Macaca mulatta: one gene and its partner. The protein of the gene in region 1 purifies or fractionates together with the protein of each later gene. This does not show direct contact. Links are inferred from orthologs where the notes say so. Each region holds a gene or a part of one and is shown on either strand. Other genes may lie near its edges.

Region 1 (10,057 bases):
ACCCGAAAGCACAGCAATAATTAAGTAATGGCTAGAGGAGAAGAAACAGAGTAGGTAGAGAAAAAGGAGGAAAACCAGTGTGGGCAGGAGTCCAAGGAAGGAGACTTTATGAAGTAGGAATGGGTCAACTGTGTCAGATTCTTCAAAAAAGTCAGGTAACGTGAGAGCTGAAGAAACCACTGGATTGAACAACTGTGAGATCACTGGTGGTCTTGGTGATGGTACTTTCACCAGTATAACAAGGTTGCAATGAAGGTGAAGATAGAAGGGTATATTAGACTTAATGAAATAGAAAAAAGGGTTTTTTTGGTAACAATCTTAGAAGGAGTTTACCTTTTAGAGACTCAGAATTTCGAATGGATAATGACTTATAAAGTAGTTTAGCCAGGAAGCACCCTGTAAGCCATTGGCTGCATACCAGTGTTTAATGGCATGGAGGTCAGAAACCTGCTATAAGGTATTCTAGGAGTAATGGAATAAACTCGATAACTTCTTGAAGTGGCATCAAGCCTTCACTGAAGGTAGGTGAAGAGAGTCTTAGAATTATTTAATTACTCTGAGCCAGAAAGCTGGCCTGTAATTTTCATGGCCACCCTGACTCTTGCATGATAAATACACAAAGAAGCAGACAGCTAGGCATCACCTACAGACAGAATACTCATCGTCAGAATACACCAGAGGTACTGGTATGTGTTTTCTCTGCTTGTTGGAAGTCTGATAGTATGATTTAAGAAACAAGGGTAAATTGCCACATTATTTTCTTCAGAAATACTTTGATAAAATATCAAAAATATAGAAATATAACAGGGTTTTTGATGCAGGTATTTGCTATTCAAGTGTGAAATCAATTTAATTACATTTTTAGTGAATAGCATGTCTTTTTCTAAAATTTCTAAAACAATATTAACTTTCTTTTTCTACAGCAATCTTTCCCAAAGAAATTCCCCATGTCTCAGTCAGTGCCTCATATTTACATTCAAGTTAAAGAATTTATTTATGCCAGCCTTAAATTTTCAGAGTCACTACACCGGAGGTAAGTTTACTAATCACAAATGCATTTTTGTCATAACTTTTATGAAACATTAATACTTTGTTTTTATGTCATAACTTTTTTTTCCTCAACTTTTATTTTAGGTTCATGGGGTACGTGTTTGTTACAAGGGCATATTGTAGAATGCTGAGGTTTAGGGTATGCTTGAACCTGTCACCCAGGTAGTGAGCACAGTACTCAATAGGTAGTTTTTCAACCCCTGCCTCCCCTTCTTGTAGTCCCCAGTATCTGTTGTTTCCATTTTTACATGCATGTGTATCTAGTGTTTAGCTCCCACTTATAAGTGAAAACATGCAGTATTTGGTTTTCTGTTTCTGCATTAGTTTGCTTAGGCTATTAGCCTCCAGCTGCATTCATGTTGCTGCAAAGGACATGATTTTGTTCTTTTTTATGGCTGTGTAGTGTTCCATGGGGTTTATATACCACATTTTCTTTATCCAATCCAACATTGCTATCAATGGAGAGGCGCTACTTGGAACTAGTGGGTAGAGGCCAGGGGTGCTGCCATAGACACCTATGTCTTTGCTATTGTGAATAGTGCTATAGTGAACATATGGGTACATGTGTCTTTTTGGTAAAATGATTTATTTTCCTTTGCATATATCCCCAATAATGGGATTGCTGGGTTGAATGGTAGTTCTTTTTGTTTGTTTTTGTTTTTGTTTTGTTTTGTTTTGAGACAGGATCTCACTCTGTTGCCCAGGCTGGAATGAAGTGGCACAATTATGGCCCATTGCAGCCTCGACCTCCTGGGCTCAAGTGATCCTCCCACCTCAGCCTTCCAAGTAGCTGGAACCACAGGTTAACGCCACTACACCTGGCCAATTTTTGTATTTTTAGTGGAGACGAGGTTTTGCCATGTTGGTCAGGCTGGTTTCGAACTTCTGGCCTCAAGCAATTCACCCACCTCAGCCTCTCAAAGTGCTGAGATGACAGGCACAATCTACTGTGCCTGGCCCACAGAGTTTTAAAAGTAGTATTTTAATAAAAAGTAAAAGGATACAAAAATGTTAGCTTATATCTAAGGCAGTAGTTCTCAACTGGGGATAATTTTGGTTCTCCTGCCACCACCTCCTCCCCACAAATTTGGCAATGTCTAGAAACATGTTTGGTTGTTACAGTTCGGGGGAGAGGCGCTACTTGGAACTAGTGGATAGAGGCCAGGGGTGCTGCCAAACATCCATATGTGCAAGGCAGTCTCCACAACAAAGTATTATCCACCGTAAAATGTCAATAGTGCCGAGATGGATAGTCCGTGGTCTAAGGACAGTTTAACTGTTGTGATAATGAGGCTGTATCCAAGGAATCATTATTTACTTAAATTGAAGGCCTAATGGTTAGGAGAAAAGAATTTGTTTTTTAGTGCTAGCTTAGTAATACTTAGGATGTTAAGAAACATCATATTAAAATTAGTTTAAGGTAATTTATTTCTTTGACGACTTAAAAAATCTTGATGAAAATGTATAACTTAGTTATATTAAAAATTAAATTTGTTAATTATATCTAGAAAGAGCTCATGTCAGTTTGTATTTTAAAAATAATTTTTAGCTGTAGTTGTGTAGGAAGTTTCTTTCAAAGTGCCTGTCTTTTGGGGCTGGGCGCGGTGGCTCACGTCTGTAATCCCAGCACTTTGGAAGTCCAAGGTGGGAGAATTACTTGAGTCCAGGAGTTCAAGACCAGCCTGGGCAACATAGCGCAACCCTGTCTCTATAAAATATTCGAAACTAGCTGGGCGTGGTGGCATGCACCTGTAGGCCCAGCTACTCAGAATGTTGAAGTATGAGAATCGCTTGAGTCCAGGACTTTGAGGCTACAGTGAGCTATAATTGCACCACTGCACTCCAGCCTGGGTGACAAAGTGAGACCCTGGCTCAAAAACAATAATAAAAATAATAAAACGGCAAAGTTACTATCCCATGATGGAGTTGGAATTTAGGAATAGTTTTATTTCCTTATACCAAGTCCTCCATGATTTTTCTGTAGTTGTTAATTGGATACATTTAAATTATGCCATATATGAATATTCTACTTTATGGAAAATGTCCCTTTTGCAAAGTTAAATTGAAGTTTGCGATTTAATAAATATGGGTCATTGTAGTTTATTTAAGGATATAAATTAATGACTTGGGGAAAATTATTTTAGTAAATTGTGTTAAATTATTTAGGATGTTAACTAACCATATTCATTATTTTTTATTAAAGTTTGTAAAAAGTTTAATAATATCAGTCTTTCTGTTTAGCTCAACAGAAATAGACGATATGCTTAGAAAATCAACAAATCTGCTGCTGACCAGAACTTTGAGTAGCTGTTTACTGAACCTTATTAGAAAACCTCATATAGGTTTGACAGAGGTAGGTTAAAAAGACACATATAGTGAAGTGTTTCATTGTATGAAACAATTATTTTAAATTATTGCTGAACATCATTTTGTAAAACTAGCTTCCTGTTTTAAATGTATTAATGTAAGCAGATTTGTTTTCAAAATGAAAATAACCAGTGTAAATTCCAGAAATGTGAGGATGCCAGGCACAGTGGCTCACACCTCTAATTTGAGAGCTTTGGGAGGCCAAGGCAGAAGGATTGCTTGAGGTCAGGAGTTTGAGACCAGCCTGGGAAATATAGTGAGACCCTGTCTCTACAAAAAATGAAGAATATTAGCCAGGCGTGGTATTGTGCAACTGTATTCCTAGCTACTCTGGACTTGAGCTCAGGAAGTTGAGGCTGCAGTAAGTGACACTCATACCACTGCAGTACACAGCCTGGGTGACAGCAAGACCCTGTCTCTGGAAGAAAAAAAAAAGTGAGGGAAAAGGGTTCATATGGGGAATAGTAGATAAAGATGTTAGAACATCTGTTTAGATTTCTGATTGCCAGACTACAGGAAAAGCCAAAATCCTAATTTTTTACTTGCTAAATGTTTAAGATTTGAAACATACTATGAAAAGTTATTTTAAAATAACTGGCAGTTAGATTCTTGATATGTGTGTGTGTGTATATATATATATATAAAAATTCATAAGCAGTATTTGCAGCAGGCTTTTAAAATCAGATAGTTGTATCCTATAATGCTGTAGTTATGTAGATATGGTACAGTTGCTGGAAGTAATAATCCTATTTTTAAAAATTAGGTGATTTTACATACATGTAACCTGTATTTTACTGGATATATCTTGTGTTTTCTAGCTGGTGCAAATCATCATAAACACAACACACCTGGAACAAGCTTGTAAATATCTTGAGGACTTTATAACTAACATTACAAATATTTCTCAAGAAACTGTTCATACTACAAGACTTTATGGACTTTCTACTTTTAAGGTATGTAAAAATTTGACCAAAAGTTTTCATTTCAGTCACTGTAAACAAACGTTAAGAAATTAAAGACTGTTCTTATTATATGCAAGATCTACTATATTCCTAAAAATTAAGAATAGAGGTAATCATTGTCAACAATGAGCAGATAAATGTAAGGTTTTTTTTGGCACCGTAAACATCTTATTAACATGGAGAAAAGTATACTTATTTTCTACAATGTATTACGCTTTGTTCATGTTTTGATGATTTATAGTAGTGCTGAATAGGTCTAACTGAATTAATATTTCACAGTTTAAAAATTAATTCTATATGAGTGTTTATGTTTGAAAATTTTAAATGTAAGACAAATTAAATAAGGATAGATTTGTTTTCCATCCTTGACTGGTTCTGATCTGAAGAAAAGCAAGTATTATTACATGTCATTGAAGTCCTGCCTGTTTTGTGGATGGGAAGATTTCTGTTTTAATAATATACAGGATATACTGAGGATTAATTAACGGTTGTTTTAGGTAGAATGTAAGATTAAATAATTTCATAAGCTATTTTATTATTTTATTGATTTGGAGTCATAGATGAGACACTAGCTTAGTCTAGTGTATATAAATCCCCTTGCATTGAATATTTTGTTAAACTAATGATAAACCATGTACTGATCACTTATCTGCAAAATGGGCTTGCTAATTCAACCTTATAGCTCTTTCTAAAAGTTTCCTGTTAAAAAGAATTCTCTTTAACTACTTTTGTTATATTATCAATCACCCCCAAGATTTTGTTGTAATAACTTGCATTTTAAAAAATGAATGTACTGGCTGGGCATGGTGGCTCACGCCTGTAATCCCAGCACTTTGGGAGGCCGAGGCTGGCGGATCACAAGGGCAGGAGATTGAGACCATCCTGGCTAACACGGTGAAAGCCCGTCTCTACTAAAAATACAAAAAATTAGCTGGGCGTGGTGGCAGGTGCCTGTAGTCCCAGCTACTCGGGAGGCTGAGGCAGGAGAATGGCATGAACCCGGGAGGTGGAACTTGCGTTGAGCGGACATCACGCCACTGCACTCCAGCCTGGACAACAAAGCAAGACTCCATCTCAAAAAAAAAAACAAAACAAAAAAATGAATGTTCTTGTGTTTAAAAATAACTAATTTAATGTTAACATTTAACCATACTTTGAAAGTGTGAAGTCCACAAACAACCCTGGAATGCTAGAATTATCTGCTTGGCCCCCAAATATTATGCTCCTCTGGTGCCTCTTGAGCTAAGTAGTCATTTCAATACATAAGACACAAATGCAGAATGATACCTGAATCAGCAGACTTAACAAAATTAGTTATTAAAACTTAGAAGCCTAAAAAAGCAGGCATTCATTTATTCAGATAATATAGTACAGTGATTAAATTCATATACTCTGAAGTTAGATTGCTCTGTGGTCTTGGGCAAGTTCTTTAATGTGATTCCAAGTTTCTTTATCTATAAAATTAGAGTAACAGTACAGTACTTACTTCATGTGATCATTATGAGGAGTAAAGAAGACACTTAGCACAGAACCATTCACTGTATATAAATCATGCTCTGAGCACTCTGTTTAGACTCTGAGAATACAAAAATGTATCCCTGCCCTCAAGAAGCTCAGAGGAGGAAAAAAATAAAAGACACTTAACAATGTGGTATGGTAAGTGTGATAATATAGGAGGAGACGCCACAAGTTTTTAGTCACTTACTTATCCAAGGACAAATTGATTCTTAGCTTTTATGTTAGATTTTACATAATGCCTCTACTTTCTCTTCATTGTTCTTTCTGTCCTTACATCCATGTGTTACTCATACTCTGTCAAGAAGGGATTTCTCAGGCTTAGAATTGTAGGCATATTTAACTGTTAACATTACATTTAATATGCTTACCCAGTACTCTCTGATTAAAACATGAATTACTTTAGCATCTTGTGTTTCTAGGGATCTTAGAGTAATTTTCTTATCGATTATAAGCCAAAGAACCAAAGATACTGGAACACAATGCTCTTAGATTAGGGGATCTTGGAACTGTATTTCTCAAAATCTGCCTGTTGGGAAAGAATGTTTAGAAATGTTAGCTCTGGTTCATCATTCCAGAGTTGAAACCACAACTGTCATTGCATACTCCTTGGTGGATTTCCTTGGAAATCAAGTTCTGCTCTGTAAATAGCGAAGCATCTTTGTTTTTTGTTGTTTATTTGTTCGTTTTGTTTTCACACAGAACTCAGTAAATGCTTTTCTGTTTTCTAATATGTGAGCAAGAGCTGTTTTCATCTTAATATTTGAAGGTCAAGTATTTTTCAGTTCTATCTTTTGGTCTGTTTCAAGAGGAATTTGTCTCAAAATGTGATAAGGGGAAGTACTTCAACAGGGAGGATTGTTAAATCAATATTAAAGTGAATTACTGAGGGACACTGGGGAATTTCCATTCACAGTGAATAGTCTGTTGCCTCTTTCACAGAAACGATTGAAGTACAGTCTTGACTGTAGACATTTGATTGGATTATTTAGCCTATTAGCCTGATTTTTTTTTCAGTTCAGTGACCCTAGAAAACATATTTCTATTTGATTGCTTAATGATTCTGGAAACAAGCACTTAATGATACCTATACCTCCATTTGCTTCCCTTCCAAAAACTACGTATGCACACACAAACTGCCTGATCTTGTGTCATATATATTTAGGTTATGAAATAGTGTATAGACAGTTTTGTTAACTTGTTTGCTAACTCTGTAAGTGACATAAAAGAAGTTCATTAAGTAGTTCCTACCCTCAAGCAGTACCTCAGCTTTTTGAAAGTAACTCAGACCCAAATAGAGAGCTACTTAAAGCTAATATAAGACTTCTCTTAACTGGAAAAATTTGCATCAATATAGATGAAAAAAACGGAAATACCATCCCCTTTCTAACTTGTGTGGTAGAGAAATAGTCCAGTTGTTTCTCTTTGGCGTCAGGGATCTTTAACTTGACTCCAAGGAGCTCTTCCAGCCTGCTACTCTGAAGACTTTTCTTTTGAGTCCTGGCAGTAATTGCAACTGTCAATGCCTAGAAGAAATGCACTTCTGATTCTTTTTCTAACTTGCTTTTTTTTTTTTTCTTTTTGTCTGCTAATAACTATGTAGCGAAGCTTTTCAGGATTGTGGCTGAAGTGACAGTAGTAAATTGTCTTTAAGGGCTTGAAATTCTCTTCCTATGGAGCAAGGACATGGTACATGTCAGTTCTCCCCAACTTGATCTACAGATTTAATATATTCCCTGTTAATATCCCAGCAAGTTTTTCTGTGGATGTTGACAAAGTGATCTTTAACTTTATATGGAGACAGAAGACCCAGAAGAACCAACAGAGTATTGAAGAAGAACAAAGTTGGAGGACTGATACTACCCATCTTCAAGACTTTCTATACAGCTGTAGTAATGAGGCTGGGTGCCGTGGCTAACACCTGTAATCCCAGCACTTTGGGAGGCCGAGGTGGGCAGATCATGAGGTCAAGAGATCAAGACCATCCTGGCCAACATGGTGTAACCCTGTCTCTACTAAAAATACAAAAATTAGCTGGGTGTGGTGGTGTGCACATGTAATCCCAGCTACTCGGGAGGCCGACGCAGGAGAATCGCTTGAACCTGGGAGGCAGACGTTGCAGTGAGCCGAGATCGTACCACTGCACTCCAGCCTGGCGACAGAGTGAAACTCCGTCTCAAAAACAAAACAAAACAAAACAAAGTTGTAGTAATAAATAAGATGTGGTATTGGACAAACAACAGACAAATAGATTAATGGAACAGATTAAAGACCCCAGAAATAGACCCACATAAATATAGTCAACTGAATTTTGACAAAGGAGCAAAGGTAATAAAATGTAGCAAAGATAGTTTTTTCAGCAAATAGTGCTGGAACAACTGGACATCCACATGCAGAAAAATGAATCTAGACCAGACCTTATACCCTTCACAAAAACTGACTCAAAATGTTTCACAGATCTATATGTAAAATGCAAATTGATAAAACCCCTAGAAGATAACATAGGAGAAAATCTAGATGACCTTGGGTGGGGCAATGACTTTTTAGTCTTGATTGTTCCCCAAAGGAACAATCCATGATAGAAATCATTGATAAACTGAACTTCATTAAAAATTTAGACTTCTATTCTATGAAAGACCGTGTCAACAGAATGAGAAGACAAGCCACAAAATTGGGAGAAAATATTTGCAAAAGACTTATCTGGTAAAGGACTCTTGTCTGAAATATGCAAATAACTCTTAAAACTCAACAAGAAGAAAATGAACTATTGATTTTAAAATGGGCCAAAGATCTTAACATATACCTCAGCAAAGAAGATAGAGATGCAGATAAGCATATGAAATGATGTTCCATATATATATCATAAGGGAAATGCAAATTAATACAACAATGAGATAGCACTACACACCTATTAGAGTGGCCAAAATTCAGAACAATGACAGCATCAAAAGCTGACAAAGATGTGGAGCAACAGAAGCTCTTACTCATTGCTGGTGGGAATGCAAAATGCTACAGCCTCCTTGGAAGACCGTTTGGCAGCTTCTTATAAAGTGAAACACAGTCTTACCATATGATGCAGCAATTGTGCTTCTTGGTATTTATTCCAAGGAGTTGAAAACTTAGGTTTACCCAAAAACTTATACATGGATGTTTATAGCAGCTTTATTCATAATTGCCCAAACTTGGAAGCAACCAAAATGTCCTTCAGTAGGTGAATGTATAAATAAACCCTGGTATATCTGGACAATGGAATATTATTAAGTACTAAAAGGAAATGAGCTATCTAGCCGTTGATATGGATGAAACTTAAATGCATATTATTAAGTGAAAGGAGCCAATCTGAAAAGGCTACATATTGTATGATTGCAACTATGTGACATTCTGGAAAAGAGAAAGCTATGGAGACAATAAAAAAATTAATGGTAGCCAGGGGTGAGGGAGTGGTGGAGGGGTAAATAAGTGAAGCTCAGAGGATGTTTAGGGCAGTGAAACTATTGCTCTAGAAGTATATAATTGTGTATACATGCATCAAAACCCATAGAATGTAAAACACTATGAGTGAATCCAGTGTACACTGTGGACTTTGGAATTTGTGGGGTATGTAGTAAATCTCTGTAGTTTCTGTTCAGTTTTGCTGTTAACCTAAAACTACTCTAAAAAATAGTCTGTTTAAATTGCGAAAGAAAGGTGAACACACTTGTAACTATGAGATGAAGAAATAAAGCATTACTAGCACTGTAGAAGCCTTCCTCATTCCTCTCCTTTGTCACTATCTCTTTTCCTCTCAGTACTGACTTTTAACGGCACAGAGTAGTTTTGCCTGTTTCTGAGTTCTATTTAAATGAAATCACACAGAGTGCTTCTTTTTGTGTATCTGACTTCTTTTACTCAGCATGACTTGGGGTATTTCATTTGTGGTGTTGTATGTAGCTGTAGTTTATTTATTTTGAATTCAATATGGTATTCCACGATAGAATTTACTACACCTTATTTATTTGTGTGTGAACTGTATCACTTTTGGCTATTTAGAAACCTTTCTTTTGCTTTCTTACTGGTTATTGACTGGATACGTGACCTCTTTCTGAGATATTACCGTATGAGTAAAAGATAATTTACGTTTATTTAATTTTTAGTTGTGAATATACAAATTCAGAAACTGGCAT
Region 2 (10,157 bases), on another chromosome or scaffold:
TATATATATATATATATATATATATATATATGGTCTTGGCTGGGCACAGTGACTCACACCTGTAATCCCAGCACTTTGGGAGGCTGAGGCAGGAGGATCACCTGGGGTCAGGAGTTCAAGACCAGCCTGGCCAACATGGTGAAACCCCACCTCTACTAAAAATACAAAAAGTAGCCGGGTGTGGTGGCACACACCTGTAATCCCAGCTACTTGGGAGGCTGAGGTAGAAGGATCTCTTGAACCAGGGAGGCAGAGGCTGCAGGGAGCCGAGATCATGTCATTGCACTCCAGCCTGGGCAACAAGACCAAAACTCCATCTCAAAAAACAAAAATAAAAATAAATAAATAAATAAATATATGGTCTTATAATCTTATGGGACCACTGTTATACATGGGGTCCATCATTGACTAAAATGTCATTTTGTAACTTTCTGCCAATAGGAAACGCTCACTTGATACCATTATACATTCCCCATTCTCTTCCCACCCACTACTTAAAACCATTTTTTTTTCATGTGTTTATGTAATCATTTACCCAATACATATTCATTAAGCAACTCTTCCAGTTAGGGCTCCTTGTAAGCCTGATTTGGTTAATTATGCTGTTCAACTTTTTAAAATGTGTATTACTTTTTTCTGCTCATTCATTGGGTTACTAAGAAGGTTGTGTTAACATTCTGCAAGTATGAGGCTGGGCATCGTGGCTCACACCTGAATCCCACCACTTTGGGAGGCTGAGGCAGGAGGATTGCTTGGGCCTGGGAGGTTGAGGCTGTAGTGAGACAGGGTCTTGCTCTGTCACCTAGACTGTACTGCCGTGGTGTGATCTCAGCTCACTGTAACCTCCGCCTCCCAGGTTCAAGCGACTCTTGTGCGTCAGCCTCCTGAGTAGCTGGGACTACAGGTGTGTGTCACCACACCCAGCTAATTTTTTGTATTTTTAGTAGAGATGGGGTTTCACCATGTTGGTCAGGCTGGTCTCAAACTCCTGGCCTCAAGTGATCCACCTGTCTCAGCTTCCCAAAGTGCTGGGATTACAAGCATGAGCCACTGCGCCCAGCCTGATTGTAGATTCTTTTTGCTTCTGCTAACTTATGCCTCATAAAATTTAAAGCTACGTTATTACTTTTAGGGACATTATGTATTGCTGTTTAATAGATTGTTTTATTATTATAAAATATCCCACTTTTCCTCTAGTAAAACTTCTTCCCTTGAAGTCTTCAGTCTGATACTAATACTGGTTGAACATCCCTAATTTGACAATCCAACATCTGAAATGCTCCAAAATCCAAAACTTTTTGAGCACTTACAAGATGCTTAAAGGCTATGTTCTAAGGAAATGCACACTAAAGCCATTTCAGATTTGGGACTTTTGGATTAGGAAAGCTCAACCAGTAAGTATTGTGCAAACATTCCAAATTAAAAAAAAAAAATCTGAAATCTGAAACACTTCTGGTCCCAAACACTTTGGATAATGAGTACTCAACCTTATAGCCACAATAGTTTTCTGCTGATAAGTGTTTGGATGATTACTTTTCCTCATCCTTTTAATATAAGTGTGTCTTTACTGTAAGCATGCCATTCCATGTATTTAATGGAGTGTTTAGTCCACTGACATTTAATTATTGATACTTTGTTTACACCTACCTTTCTCTTTGTATCATCTGAGCTTTGTTCTTTTTCATTCATCAAGTATTTCTACTGTACCATTTTACATTTAGTAGCTATTTTTTAAACAAATTGTGGTAAAAAAAAATTAACAAAATTCCCCATCGTACCCATTTTTATGTGTACAGTTCGGTGTTGAGTATATTCACATTGTCATGTAATCCACTGCCTTTTATTATCCTTAAAAACAGCATCTCTCATCTCCAAGCATGTTTTAATATGTTTCCCACCCCATGCTGAGAAACTACCACCCTGCTCTTTTGTACAGATTTTTTGTTTTTTTGGGTTTTTTTGAGACGGAATTTCGCTCTTATTGCCCAGGCTGGAGTGCAATCGCGCAGTCTCAGCTCACTGCAACCACCACCTCCTGGGTTCAAGAGATCCTCCTGCCTCAGCTCCCACTGCTCCATTCTGCTAGCAGAAGTACCAGCTCTAAATGTGAAGCGTGCACGCACACTGGTTTCTGCTGCCAGCTCGGCTAGGTGTCCTGAGCACACAGCAGTGTGGCAGCCCAACTGAGGAGAATGAAAATTTGTGTTTCTCAACAGGAAGATGTGGATCCTGTTTTCTCTGCTTCTAAATACATAACTTAAGCCAGTTACTTCACCTTTCTGAACCTTAATTTCTTTACTCATAAAAATGAAAATAGCAACACATGAACATCAACAGGGCTGTTGTACAATCAAAGCAGATAATATACCTAGAAGCCTTTTTTTTTTTTTTTTTTTAAGATGGAGTCTGGCTCTGTAGCCCAGGCTGGAGTGCAGTGGTGCAATCTCGGCTCACTGCAAGCTCCGCCTCCCAGGTTCACACCATTCTCCTGCCTCAGCCTCCCGAGTAGCTGAGACTACAGGCGCCCGCCACCACGCTCGGCTTTTTTTTTTTTTTTTTTTTTTTTTTTTTTTTAGTAGAGACGGGGTTTCACCGTGTTGGTCAGGATGTTCTCGATCTTCCGACCTCGTGATCCACCCGCATCGGCCTCCCAAAGTGCTGGGATTACAAGCGTGAGCCACCGCACCCGGCCTCTAGAAGCCTTTTTTTTTCCCACTATGAAGCACTATAAAAAACATAAGGTGTTCATTATTATTTGCCCCATAATTCAAGTTTGCACTGAGGGCAAAGAGACTTTTTAAAAGATACATACAGGTGAATTCACAGCAGTCTAAATCAATGACAAGCATTTGTAAATTACTGAGCTAGGAAGCAAGTTTACATGAAAAATACCTCTACAAGATCCTTTCTTGGTCTCAACTTTAAAAGGGGTTCGCTGAGACGGATGGAACACATTCCACCCTTCCCTTCATAGCTGCATATCCCAGCACACCTAGAAAACAATCACCATAAAAATGTGTTACATTGACCAAATACGCCCAAGTCCTTACACATTCTTGGGCAGTGCACACTAAGAGAACTCATTTGGCAGATGGCTTTCTTGAGAGTATACCCCCTTGGTTAGCAGATACTTGCATTTCACCCAATTAATTAGTTACAGCCCCCGGGGGCGCCTCCCGCGATGGCTCCCCGGCCAGGCGAGGAAGGAAAGCAGCGCCCTCTCACCACCCTGCTTGAGAAGGTGGAAGGCTGCAGGCACCTGATAGAGACGCCAGGACAGTACCTGGTGTACAACGGGGACCTAGTGGAATACGATGCGGACCACATGGCCCAACTGCAGCTTCCCTTGCCCTAGCTAGGCTGCAACAGCTCGAAGGCAATCCCATTCTGCTACTCCCAGTCTCCTTACGACAAATCACAGTTTGGTGTTATTAACAAGCAGGTATCTCCAATAGTGTATCTCCAAAATGATAACAGACGCCTGTATAAAGGAGATTGGTACTTTAAACACAATTTAATATGATATCTTAATTTGTTTGTAGGTTGTTTTCTGTCAACTCAAAAACAAGCATGCTGGTGGTATACAACTGTATCTTAAACTTCACCCTATTCACGTGCAGGAGTAGATTATTATTTCAAATAAGGATTTCTCAAATTTAGCATGTAGAAAAAGAATCGTTTTAAAAGCATCACTGAAGATCCCCACTGCAACACACGAGCTCACTAAAGTGGGTTCCTAACGGGAAAGAGAGGAGGGGAACGCACATCCTTTGGAGGTTACTCTGCGTCCTCAGCACTTTCTTAGGGGCAGATTTGGTTGCTTTTCCCTTCAGGGTCCTACAGCACTATCATAAGGCAAATCAGGAACTTGTTATTTTCAAGTTTAGTGAGATTCAAACACAAATCTCTTTTCTCGTTAGGGCCCTGAGTCCAACCGTGGCGGTGGGGTCTACACAGCTTTCTTATTTTTCGAGTGGGAGAAAAGGTAAGAAAAAGAGAAATACGCCAAGGCAGGAATTGCCAGGTCCAAAACCAGACTCCCCCCTCATTTAATGCCCCCTGGGACCGTCGGACCAGAGAAAGGAGAGAAGACCAGGACCGGGGGCTGCAGGAGAACTGCCAGTCCCGCCTCTTTCCCCAGCGGGGCTCGGAACTCACAGGGTCATTCGCACGCTCCACTTCACCTCGACGGCCTCCAGCTGGCCCCAGAAGAACTGGTCGTTAAACTGAACAAACAGGGCCTGCAAGTCCGGTGTGGGGTCCACCAACTCCCACGACGCGTCCACTAGCGACAGGGACTCCTGGGCCTGATCGCGCTCCGCCTCCTGCAAGTTCCACTCCTCCTGAAGCCGCAGGGCCAACATCAGGTCATCGTCCATCGTTGCCAGGATCACAGGCGGGATCCGCCGGTGTCAGGCTGGCTCCGAGTTAGGCTGCGACCCCAAGCCGCCTAGCGGAGGACCAGGACTAGCTCCTAGGAGATACCGGCTCTCGAGACGGCCAGTCAATCCCGCGAGAGTTCGCGGAAACTCGCTTGAGAAAGAGAACGTGAACGAGAACGGCGCTTACCCCAAACGCCGAAGCCAAGATTCTAGGGCTTTAAAACAAGCAGTCAGCACGACACCTCCTAGTGGGCGCAGAACCTGGGCTCACAGGGCACCGGCCCTACGAAGCTTTCAGGAAGCTAGTTCCAGCCTTTACTCTTTGCCGGTTATTTCAAACCTCAACGTCACGCTCGGTTCATGCGCAGTACTCAAATTGCTCTCGGCCTCTCCACTCACTTCCGCACTAGCTCCTCCGGCGCATGCGCCTTAACTGATGGCATTCCTGCGCAGGCGCAATGTCTGCGCCTGGCCCCTTGCGCAGGCGCAGTGTCTGACGCTCAGACCCGGCGCAGGCGCACTCGTCTTGTTCCAATTCCTGCTTCCTCAGCCCAGGAGCTCGGTGGGTCTTGGGTGGGTGTAGACAGCCGCGGCGGCTGCGGCGCCGATAGTGACAGTGAGTGCGTGAGACCCGGACGGAAATGGCGATGGCGATGTCGGACAGTGGGGCGAGCCGCCTGCGTCGGCAGCTGGAGTCAGGGGGTTTTGAGGCGCGGCTGTACGTGAAGCAGCTCTCGCAGCAGTCGGATGGGGACCGGGACCTCCAGGAGCACCGGCAGCGCATCCAGGCGCTGGCGGAGGAGACGGCGCAGAACCTGAAGCGCAACGTCTACCAGAACTACCGGCAGTTCATAGAGACGGCCCGTGAGATCTCCTACCTGGAGAGCGAGATGTACCAGCTCAGCCACCTGCTGACGGAGCAGAAGAGCAGCCTGGAGAGCATCCCGCTTACGTTGCTGCCTGCCGCAGCTGCCGCCGGAGCCGCTGCCGCGTCTGGCGGGGAGGAGGGAGTCGGTGGGGCGGGGGGCCGAGACCACCTCCGAGGCCAGGCCGGTTTTTTCTCCACCCCCGGTGGCGCCTCCCGCGACGGCTCCGGTCCAGGCGAGGAAGGAAAGCAGCGCACTCTCACCACCCTGCTTGAGAAGGTGGAAGGCTGCAGGCATTTGCTGGAGACGCCGGGACAGTACCTGGTGTACAACGGGGACCTAGTGGAATACGATGCCGACCACATGGCCCAACTGCAGCGGGTGCACGGCTTTCTCATGAACGATTGTTTGTTGGTGGCTACCTGGCTGCCGCAGCGGCGGGGGATGTATCGCTACAACGCTCTCTATTCCCTAGATGGTTTGGCCGTAGTCAATGTCAAGGACAACCCGCCCATGAAGGACATGTTCAAGCTGCTTATGTTCCCCGAGAGCCGTATTTTCCAGGCCGAAAATGCTAAAATAAAACGAGAGTGGCTGGAAGTGCTGGAGGAGACCAAGAGAGCCCTCAGTGAGAAAAGGCGAAGGGAGCAGGAGGAGGCAGCGGCCCCTCGAGGGCCACCCCAAGTGACTTCCAAGGCCACTAACCCATTTGAGGATGACGAAGAAGAAGAGCCAGCTGTTCCTGAGGTAGAGGAAGAGAACGTGGACCTCTCCATGGAATGGATCCAGGAGTTACCTGAAGACCTGGATGTCTGCATTGCGCAGAGGGACTTTGAAGGGGCTGTTGACCTGCTGGATAAATTGAACCATTACCTGGAAGATAAGCCTAGCCCACCTCCTGTAAAAGAACTAAGGGCCAAAGTGGAGGAGCGAGTTCGACAGCTCACTGAGGTGCTGGTTTTCGAACTCTCCCCAGATCGTTCCCTGAGAGGTGGTCCCAAGGCTACTCGCAGAGCAGTTTCGCAACTGATCCGGCTGGGCCAGTGCACGAAGGCCTGTGAGCTATTTTTGAGAAACAGGGCAGCCGCTGTTCATACAGCAATTCGTCAGCTTCGCATTGAAGGCGCCACTTTACTCTATATTCATAAGCTGTGCCATGTCTTCTTTACCAGCCTTCTTGAGACTGCAAGAGAATTTGAGATTGATTTTGCAGGCACTGACAGCGGCTGCTACTCCGCCTTTGTGGTCTGGGCAAGATCAGCCATGGGCATGTTCGTGGATGCTTTCAGCAAGCAGGTGTTTGATAGTAAGGAGAGCCTCTCAACAGCAGCTGAGTGTGTAAAAGTGGCTAAGGAGCATTGCCAGCAACTGGGTGATATCGGACTGGACCTCACCTTCATCATCCATGCCCTTCTGGTGAAAGACATCCAAGGGGCCTTGCACAGTTACAAAGAAATCATCATTGAAGCCACTAAACATCGCAACTCTGAAGAGATGTGGAGAAGGATGAACTTGATGACGCCAGAAGCCCTGGGGAAGCTCAAAGAAGAGATGAAAAGCTGTGGGGTAAGTAACTTTGAGCAGTACACAGGGCATGACTGCTGGGTGAACCTAAGTTACACAGTGGTTGCTTTCACCAAACAGACCATGGGCTTCTTGGAAGAGGCTCTGAAGCTGTATTTCCCAGAGCTGCACATGGTACTTTTGGAGAGCCTGGTGGAAATCATTTTGGTTGCTGTTCAGCATGTGGATTATAGTCTTCGATGTGAGCAGGATCCAGAGAAGAAAGCTTTTATCAGACAGAATGCATCCTTCTTATATGAAACAGTCCTCCCTGTGGTGGAGAAAAGGTTTGAAGAAGGTGTGGGGAAACCTGCCAAGCAACTCCAAGATCTGAGGAATGCATCTAGACTTATTCGTGTGAATCCTGAAAGTACAACATCAGTGGTCTAATGCTTGGGTCTGTTTATATGTATGTATATATATAGAGAGAGCGCTTATATATTATTTATATTTATATTAAGTTGTATTAGCATACTCTTTATAGTTTCAAACACAACTTGAAAATTAAAAGTGCCCTCTTAGAATACAAAAATCAAAAAGAGGAAAAGAAGTTAAATTAAGCCCAAATAACAAAAATACTGGAATTATTAAAACATATAGTATGCTAGCTATCCTTTTAAATTATGCTGATTCTCTTCTGAAATTATGGTCACACTATACACTATAGCATTTCAGTTTCATCCTTTGATAAAACACTTTTTGGTTTTTTTTTTTTTTTTTTGAGACAGGGTCTCACCCTGTTGCCCAGGCTGGAGTACAGTGGCAACGTCACAACTAACTGCAGCCTTGACCTCCCAGGCCCAGGCAATCCTCTCACCTCAGCCTCCCATGTAGCTGGAACCACAGGCTGGCACCACCATACCCAGCTAATTTTTGTATTTTTTGTAGAGATGGGGTTTTACCATGTTGCCCAGGCTAGTGTTTTCTTTCTTCTTTTTTTTTTCCGCACAGTATATATTATACAGCAGAGTAATAATATCTATAAACATAGAGTTTATGTTGTGAAAATTTTCCCAGTTCACTAAAAGGTTTCCTAAAGGGTACAGTGCAGTATAAAACACCCTGCCTCATTTATTTCTCCTCAAAACGTTGGACTATTTGGGAAAAAGAAAAGCGTTGGGAAAATTGGTTTTAGGGTAAGTTTTAGTCAAAAGAGTTCTTTCTTGAAACTAGCTGGTGTGTGGATTCAGATACTCTGATCCTTACAGAATCCAAGAGGAAGCTTTCATAAAAACAATTCAGCAACTATTTCTAATATTATTTGAATGGCTAATTTTCAGTTGCTAATTAGCAGCTTTGTAATACTTGATTCAGGAGCGTTTACTTGGAAATCCTAAGGACTGTAATAAAATTTTTCAACATATTTCTAAATTGCGTGAGTTTCCAACTGTAGCTTTTGCCTTTGTCACATTTTAAAAAATAATAATAGGCAGGACACATTGGGGACTCTGGCAGCAGTTGCCAGGTTTTAGCTGCCACTGCTTCAGTTTGAGATACAGCTGTCCCATCCTCCCCCATTCAGGGTAGGATATATAGTGGCCTAGATGTCATGCAAATGGAAAAAAAGTTTTAACTGAAATATTTATTTAGATTTCAGGGTCTAGATGGATGGGAAATTAGAAAAACATATGCAAATCTCAGTGTTCTCACTATGACTACTCTGAGCAGAGATTCGGTTTTGTTTCTTTTTGTACCAAAGTGAAAACAGGTGAGACAATGTGCCCAAAACAAAGGGAAGATGAGAACCTTCTGTGACTTCTAAAATGTTCCATGCTGCATTTTTCTTGTTTCATTTTTTTAAACATGAATATAATGCTTCAAATTGTTTAGTAAAACAAAATCAGAAATGTGAGCTTCCCAAGGTTTCTAAACTATCGCTTCTATTGTATGTTCTATAACATTCCTTATACTTTGAGAGAAACTATGCTTGCTGTGATCCATTTTGTCTCTAGCTTCTAGTTGTGATTCTTGTCCATAAGCACCAAATTTGATGCCCATGATTTCAAAAGGTCATTTCTTTTATCTAAATGAAAATGGTGGTACTAAGACTGTGAAAATTATGTGAAACCTAAAATAGTTGCCAAAATGGCTCAGGGTTGTAAAATTCATTGACTTAATTATTCATGTGCCAGATCAACCCCTTTATTTTCGCTTTAGCTATGCATATTTAAAATATTGGAAAGTATCAGATTTACAGATTTTCTTTTGACTACGTTTTTTCACATAACTTTAGGATTTTCGAAAGTTATAACCATAACTGGATATCTTAGCTGAGCAAAGGCAGTTATAATTTGTCTTTTTAAGATCACTGGAAATTGTTAAAATTTTGTGGTAATTATGATTATTCTGTGCCATTTACAGTTTCTAATACTATACTGTATGAAATATGTATAAATATATGATGCTGGGTCTGTGAAATGATACTTCTGAAATCAAAATTCCTCATAAGGCATGAAGTTGTAAAAACTTAAATGTGTATAGTTAGATATTTAAATGGTTGCTTCTTCATAGAATTGTCTGCTTTTTGAAACTGGAAGTACAGGATTTTCTTCAGGTAAAATCTGTGTGTTCCAATTACAGTTGTAGCTGAAGGAAGTATGCTTTTGGTAAGTCAATTAGTGTGGTAAGTTGACAAAAGACCCCCAGTGTTGTACCCAGACAGAACAATTATGTTACATTCCTCTAAGTGGAGTGGGCTTTCTTCTCTAATTATTTTGTTTTATTAAACTCAAAGACAAGTTCTAAAAATTGAATGCAATGAGAGATTGTCCAGAAATATAACATATACTAAAATATACCACTTAAGCATTGATTGACTCTTCTTGTTTACTTCAAGAATATAAAACTTGTCACTTGAGCTTGGAATCATGGGCTTGACTGAATTAATTACTCTTGGGAAAAAAGGCACCTTGTGGCATTAAGTCTCGTTTTGATTAAAGCCTCATTTCACATAATTGCTAAAAACTCACTTTTGTTTAATATACTACCTATAGTTTAATTATCAGCACTTGTATTTTGTAACTTGATATCTTACCTAGGATTGGGAATTTGGGACATGACATGTACTATAAAAGTCAGTCTATGTACATATTGCTTATTGATGTGCTGTGATATGAGGGAATCTGAAATGTTTCATAAAAATAAAGCTTAAACATTGTCTTACACTGGATAAAAGTGATATTATAATATTATATCTATTGCTCTTCTTTAGTATTCAATATTTTTATATTCTTGTTACTGAAATATTCTTTGAAGACCTTAGTTTTTTGTTTTATTTATGTGGGGAGGATAGTTAGGAAGCAGTTTGCTAAATTAAGTAAGTGTTCTGCTTACCATCAGAATTGTG

What was found. Proteins that work in one complex are often made in the same cells at the same time.
Region 2: the proteins of EXOC6 (region 1) and EXOC8 purify together in Homo sapiens (affinity purification with mass spectrometry; 4 studies listed by BioGRID and IntAct, counting the BioPlex papers as one, with this or other methods). This does not show direct contact. The link is inferred for Macaca mulatta from reciprocal best matches to the Homo sapiens genes EXOC6 and EXOC8.

Annotation. Positions count from the first base shown.
Region 1 is NC_133414.1:104,902,398-104,912,454, forward strand, and holds part of EXOC6 (exocyst complex component 6), read left to right. Parts: intron 1-923; coding exon 924-1,033; intron 1,034-3,291; coding exon 3,292-3,403; intron 3,404-4,235; coding exon 4,236-4,370; intron 4,371-10,057. UniProt on the Homo sapiens protein: Component of the exocyst complex involved in the docking of exocytic vesicles with fusion sites on the plasma membrane.
Region 2 is NC_133406.1:17,691,779-17,701,935, forward strand, and holds EXOC8 (exocyst complex component 8), read left to right. Parts: upstream 1-4,933; 5' UTR 4,934-5,023; coding exon 5,024-7,201; 3' UTR 7,202-7,530; downstream 7,531-10,157. Other genes in the region: DNA-dependent metalloprotease SPRTN, read right to left, coding at 2,893-2,992, 4,159-4,379. UniProt on the Homo sapiens protein: Component of the exocyst complex involved in the docking of exocytic vesicles with fusion sites on the plasma membrane.